Saccharomyces cerevisiae S288C: one gene and its partner. Each later gene encodes a partner of the first gene's protein in a complex. Each region holds a gene or a part of one and is shown on either strand. Other genes may lie near its edges. A codon is read from its position in the direction of its gene.

Region 1 (3,559 bases):
TAGAGAGCGCTAGCCTTACGAGCATAGCAAAGATGGCCACTTTTCCGTAACAATGGCGCAGAAGTTGGTTATTGGGCCCGTGGCGCAAACTTGACGGGAGAGGTTACAGACACAATATACTGCAGTTGAGCGAAAGCCGACGTGTTGTATTAAGCGCTTGAGTAAAACCGGATGTTCTTGACGATCTTAATATTGTTAGGAGAGTAATCTGCGATCGTGGCTTTGCCTGACGCACTCAATCTTGCGTGGGAAAAACCTGAATACCACTTAATAGATGATATTTTAGAGTATCATTTGAACGGTAGGTATACTGAATATATTGAAAGTCCTCCCCAGGGATACGAGAGTTCATAGAAGGAAACTAACATTTCTAAATTATATTAATGTTATTTTTTTTCTTTCATTTCTTATGTTGTCACTTATTCTATTACATTATCAATCCGTGCATTTCAGCTTCCATTAAATCTGCTGACTGTTTCTCGATCTTCACGTTCTATCCTTACATCTTATATGATATTGTAATACAGCTATGAACAATAGTCTATAGATGGTGGTCGATTCTTGATACAACAGCTGCATGACGGTTGTTGATACAATTATTTTTAGAATTTTAGTGGACTCTCATAGGACTCTTGTCCCTAAACGAAACATCAAAAAACTGGTTTCGTGGTCTAGTCGGTTATGGCATCTGCTTAACACGCAGAACGTCCCCAGTTCGATCCTGGGCGAAATCAAGTTTTATTTTTTTCTGATCAAAAACGTCTAAGGCATTACGCGGATACTGCTAACTAACCAAAGAAACCTTCCATCTTTTTTTTTGGTAGTTGTCCTACTTTCCGTTCTTTTCGTCTTTTAAAATCTTACTAACTAGCTGTATATAGTTTCAACTAGCAATCGCTCAAATGACGGGTTATGAGAAACTGGGAATGGTTTGAGTTTCTCTGTTTGAGATGCACGTAAACCAGCTATCAAACCTGTTTCAGTGGGTGCACAAGACCATACGTAGCCCAACTCTACAAACTTGTCTGCTATCTGCTGCTGGTGGTTATCCATCAAAGAATCGTTTACGCAAACTATCAACGGTTTATTCAACCGTAGAGAATCTAGTATAGAGCCCGTTCCAGCGTGTGATATGACCAAATCTGAATAATCACGTATAATACTTTGCATCTTGGTCGAAAAGTCAAACCCGATCACCTTTAATTTCCCGTTCATCAGGACATACTGTCTTGCGGTGTCGCCACAGCCAAACTGGTCAATTGGAATTTTTTGGCTTTCTCTTTGGCCCCCGCGTTCTTGCACTAAATGCTCAAATTCAGAACTGTAGTTTCTCCCAAACTGAATGATTAGACGTACGAATCCATATTGAATCAATTCTTGGCAGAATTCGTCGCTTAGCACACATGAGACGAGCTTTGGAAATGGCACCGTTGCCCCACACGTAACAAAAAGAGCCTTTTCTTCAATAATACCCATTGTTTGAAAGAGCTGGCTTCTGACTCGTTTGTTTAACCTCTTTTTGCGACTGAAAACTTGTTTTTCTATTTCCCTTTTTCTTCGGTTGGGTTTTTTAATATGAAATCATATTTTGCATACTTCTCTACCCTTATTCTTGTTCGGAAATTTTCGTATTTTAAAACTGTCAAAATGCGAGCGAGGTGGCAAAAGTTGTAATATCAGTAACAGTTAGGTTAGGTTTTATGTAAACGGAACAACAGTATAGTGGGATACTATCACGACAATGACAGCTGCTGTAACATCCTCCAATATAGTATTAGAAACCCACGAAAGTGGTATCAAACCATATTTTGAACAGAAGATCCAAGAAACAGAATTAAAGATCCGCTCCAAAACAGAAAATGTTCGCAGACTGGAAGCTCAAAGGAATGCATTGAATGACAAAGTACGTTTTATCAAGGACGAACTGCGTCTATTACAGGAACCTGGATCTTATGTGGGTGAAGTTATAAAGATCGTGTCTGACAAAAAAGTTCTCGTTAAAGTGCAACCTGAGGGAAAATACATCGTGGATGTTGCAAAAGATATAAACGTGAAGGACTTAAAGGCATCTCAAAGAGTTTGTCTAAGGAGTGACTCTTATATGTTGCATAAAGTTCTTGAGAATAAGGCTGACCCACTAGTTTCGTTGATGATGGTGGAAAAAGTTCCTGATTCCACATACGATATGGTTGGTGGTTTGACAAAGCAAATAAAGGAGATTAAAGAAGTTATTGAATTGCCCGTAAAACATCCTGAACTTTTTGAAAGTTTGGGTATTGCGCAACCAAAGGGTGTCATCTTATATGGCCCCCCTGGTACAGGGAAAACCTTATTGGCAAGAGCTGTCGCACATCACACTGATTGTAAATTCATCAGGGTCAGTGGTGCGGAACTGGTACAAAAGTATATCGGCGAAGGTTCCCGTATGGTCCGTGAGCTGTTTGTGATGGCTAGAGAACATGCTCCCTCAATTATCTTTATGGATGAAATCGATTCCATTGGCTCTACTCGTGTAGAAGGTTCTGGTGGTGGTGATTCAGAAGTTCAAAGAACAATGTTAGAACTACTAAACCAATTGGACGGGTTTGAAACTTCTAAAAATATCAAGATCATAATGGCCACGAATAGACTAGATATTCTAGATCCAGCACTTTTGAGACCCGGTAGAATAGATAGGAAGATTGAATTTCCACCTCCAAGTGTCGCAGCTAGAGCTGAAATTTTAAGAATCCATTCCAGAAAAATGAATCTAACTCGTGGTATCAACTTGAGAAAGGTTGCTGAAAAGATGAACGGTTGTTCTGGTGCCGATGTCAAAGGTGTCTGTACAGAAGCTGGTATGTATGCTTTAAGAGAAAGAAGAATACACGTTACTCAAGAAGACTTCGAACTCGCTGTGGGTAAGGTTATGAACAAGAACCAAGAAACGGCCATTTCTGTCGCCAAGCTGTTCAAGTGATGTATTCGTTTCACTTGGCTCATTGTATATGTTACTTAGTGTATGTGTATAATATCATAGTTTAGCATTAACTAAGAGGCAAAATTATACCGCTGGATATACAGGATATAACAACCGTTTGTCTTTTCGAGAACAGAGGGGCAGAGCATTGCTGCTTTTTCCCCGTCCTGACCTTATTAATAGTAAGCCGGGGGGCCCGTTCCTTTAGTGTATTTTGAAAAATAGTAGGTACCTGCTTTGCAAAAAGGACTGAAAAAAAAAAGATAATAAGTTTTTGATTAGAGGTAAACACAGCAAACGACCACTCAGCCTAGCAGCCTTGACCCTCGAATTTAAAAAGGCGTCTGTGTTGATAGTAACTAGAAGATAACGTTTACTACGGCGACTTCATATTTTTAGGCTGTTTTTACTGTTCCTGAAAGAAAGAATTTATTACAAAGAACAATAGATCAATTGTAGGCACTATGACTGACCAAAGAGGTCCACCGCCCCCACACCCGCAGCAAGCCAATGGCTACAAGAAATTTCCTCCTCATGATAACCAATACTCTGGAGCCAATAATAGTCAGCCAAATAACCACTACAATGAAAATCTTTACA
Region 2 (3,182 bases), 350 kb from region 1:
TATTTGCCGATTTACAGTCAGGTGATAGATTTGATGAGGATATTAGATATATGTTTGATTATGAATGTGAAGATTATGATGAATCTTTCTCTGAAAGCGATCATGGAGGATTGGATGAAAGCGTTGTTAACCCAACAGAAAAAATAGCATCTGGTAGTAATAATGTTTTCTTTCGGAGACGGTGCAATTGCATCTTCAATGATGATAAGTTGGTGGCAGAGGATGGTGCAAATGAAGCCTTTGGGTCAACAAATAGCGAAAACGTTGAAGGCGCAATGCATAATAATAGGAATGCGGTACATAACGCGACTACAGCCACTTCTGATCACGTCGTTACGTCACCTAACCCACTTTCCGTTAGATCAAGAAGTACTTTTGAATTTGACTATAGTGGGGAAGATTGGAGGGACGTTCCCAGAGATTTCAATATGTACTATTCGCCATCTTATTCATTCATCCATGAGCCTAAGTTAGATGTCATATTTAGTTTGACTCTACGTGGCGCAACAGAAAAGTTGAATAAGGAGGAATCCATATTGTTAGTGCGTTCAGTTGCATCGTGTGTAAGGAACGAGCAGGACCAAATGATTTTAGCAGACCTGGAGTCTAATTTTTCCGCAAGTATAAACGGCGATGTAGAAGGTGAAGGAAATACCAAAATGTCCAAGATAGATAATGAAGATCTCAGAAGAACCACGCCGGATGATATTTATGAAATATGGTCTGAAGAATCAGCATTTGAAAGGATGCTAAACGTGAATCACGACGTTGCGTGGAGATTAATGGATGAAATGTTAATGTGCACCGGTTATAGGAGAATATTGATATGGTTCCTTACGCATTTGGAGTTAAAACATTCGTTGATATATTACGTTTTTGAACTAATAATGGGGTTACGTGGAAAACCGTTTTCCGGAGAAGCCAGTGATCAAGATAAAAAGGATGATATGATATATGAGATCTTGAAGAAAAAGCAGAAGAATGAAGATGCTTCAGGACTTCCCTTTTCAAGGCAAGGACCTATCGTATTATCTGATATTGAGACTAAAATGTTACTGCAGGAGTTTTTTATGAATGCTGCTATTTTTTTGTCATCAAAAAATAACGAAGAAGAGAATGAAGACGGCGAGAAAATCTCCTTGTACTCCCTTGGTTTGGTTAGGTTGATCTGTTACATGGTGCAGACACTCATCGCGAACGACAAGTTTTTTTTTACCAAATCAGAATGCACTTTTGAGCTTCAAACTTTACTGATGACATGGATTGGCATCCTTCCTGAAGCCAAAGATTTATTCTTTAAGATCAAGACAAGGCTCGCCATGGAAGAAGAGGATAGTGCCGATACTATGCAGCATGAGGGCAGGAAGAACTCTGACATAGAGAAGAAGCTAAACGCTAAGCCAGCTTCTGAACTGAATCTGAAATTGTTAAACCTGTTTCCCTCAAAGCCTGCAAACAAAGACGATAGTTCCCCTATTAACACGTTGCGTAGTTTTATCGCTGATTACTCCTTCGACACCCAGGTGAACCCTCCAGGAAGAAGGGTGGTGTTCTACGATGGTAAGATTTTGCCATTGCCCAAAGCCGATAAGCCTATCCCACTTCATGAATATATAACACTCGCAGAGCTCGATGTTGGAGACAGTGAGTGAGCAGTGAATTGCTCATGTTTTCTCTGCATCCTCATTTAATGACAATTAGCCATGTAATAACATCTTGAGGCAGTTAAATATTCGTTACCCTGCAGGTGGCAAAAAATTTATAGAATAAAAGCATAAAAAGATGGATATCTATGTAATAAGGAAACATTGGCAGAGCGAAGAGAACAGACTGCTTTCTATAAAAAGTTTTCGATCAGTCTCTATTTTAATAATTGATTATTGGATATAGTTAGTAGTGTTAAACATGGGTTCCAGAAGATACGATTCCAGGACAACAATTTTCTCCCCTGAGGGACGTCTATATCAGGTTGAATACGCGCTAGAATCCATTTCACATGCAGGTACCGCAATTGGGATTATGGCATCTGATGGGATTGTTCTTGCAGCAGAACGCAAAGTCACAAGTACTTTACTAGAACAAGACACCTCTACCGAAAAACTTTATAAGTTAAACGATAAAATTGCGGTTGCCGTTGCTGGACTGACTGCAGATGCAGAAATTCTAATAAATACGGCTAGAATTCACGCTCAAAATTACCTTAAAACCTATAATGAAGATATACCAGTAGAAATTTTGGTGAGAAGGCTAAGTGATATAAAACAAGGTTACACGCAACATGGTGGTTTAAGACCATTTGGTGTGTCCTTTATCTACGCCGGTTATGACGATAGATACGGTTACCAATTGTATACATCTAATCCATCGGGAAACTATACAGGGTGGAAGGCTATTAGTGTTGGCGCTAACACATCAGCAGCACAAACCCTACTTCAAATGGACTACAAGGATGATATGAAAGTCGATGATGCCATTGAACTGGCTTTAAAAACGTTATCCAAAACTACCGACAGTAGCGCGCTGACTTATGACAGGTTGGAATTTGCTACTATCAGAAAGGGTGCTAATGACGGAGAAGTGTATCAGAAGATTTTCAAGCCTCAAGAGATAAAGGATATATTGGTAAAGACTGGTATTACCAAGAAGGATGAAGACGAAGAAGCTGATGAAGATATGAAATAAGGTTGGAAAGTATTGTTTGACTTCATGCTTATATAAATATGTACGCATAGAAACATATCTCTAAAATTAAAAGTGAAAGAAAAAAATCGCTAAGATTCCCCTTTCGGGGGAAGGCTGAAGAAACTTTTTTTTGCGCAAATTTCAAGATCGGAATCGCTCGAGAGGCAAATATAAAAAAGGGCCTGCTCGTTTGGCCTACTTGTTGTTGGATTCTAACTCCAATCTAATTTTGGCAGCACTTCAAAAATAAACAAAAGCGATGTCTGCGTCACTAGTGAATCGATCATTGAAAAATATAAGGAATGAATTAGAATTTTTGAAGGAATCAAACGTCATATCAGGCGACATTTTCGAATTAATCAATAGCAAGTTACCTGAGAAATGGGATGGAAACCAAAGATCGCCCCAAAATGCAGATACAGAAGAGTACGTTGAAGCTTTATATGATTTTGAAGCTCAACAAGATGGAGATTTGTCATTGAAAACAGGTGATAAAATAC

Evidence for each region.
Region 2: the proteins of RPT6 (region 1) and PRE9 are in contact, whole or in part, in a cryo-EM structure (PDB 6EF1), measured with the Saccharomyces cerevisiae proteins. Residues at the interface, in NP_011467.1 of Saccharomyces cerevisiae: Lys402 (codon at 2,945), Leu403 (codon at 2,948), Phe404 (codon at 2,951), Lys405 (codon at 2,954); in NP_011651.3 of Saccharomyces cerevisiae: His31 (codon at 1,996), Ala32 (codon at 1,999), Gly33 (codon at 2,002), Lys51 (codon at 2,056), Glu64 (codon at 2,095), Lys65 (codon at 2,098), Tyr67 (codon at 2,104), Val77 (codon at 2,134), Gly79 (codon at 2,140), Leu80 (codon at 2,143), Thr81 (codon at 2,146).

The regions. Positions count from the first base shown.
Region 1 is NC_001139.9:409,469-413,027, reverse strand, and holds RPT6 (proteasome regulatory particle base subunit RPT6), read left to right. Parts: upstream 1-1,741; coding exon 1,742-2,959; downstream 2,960-3,559. Other genes in the region: N-acetylglucosaminyldiphosphodolichol N-acetylglucosaminyltransferase catalytic subunit ALG13, read right to left, coding at 868-1,476; TIF4632 (translation initiation factor eIF4G), read left to right, coding at 3,424-3,559. UniProt on the Saccharomyces cerevisiae protein: The 26S proteasome is involved in the ATP-dependent degradation of ubiquitinated proteins. The regulatory (or ATPase) complex confers ATP dependency and substrate specificity to the 26S complex.
Region 2 is NC_001139.9:759,487-762,668, forward strand, and holds PRE9 (proteasome core particle subunit alpha 3), read left to right. Parts: upstream 1-1,905; coding exon 1,906-2,682; downstream 2,683-3,182. Other genes in the region: CCR4-NOT core subunit CAF130, read left to right, coding at 1-1,652; LSB1 (Lsb1p), read left to right, coding at 2,942-3,182. UniProt on the Saccharomyces cerevisiae protein: The proteasome degrades poly-ubiquitinated proteins in the cytoplasm and in the nucleus. It is essential for the regulated turnover of proteins and for the removal of misfolded proteins.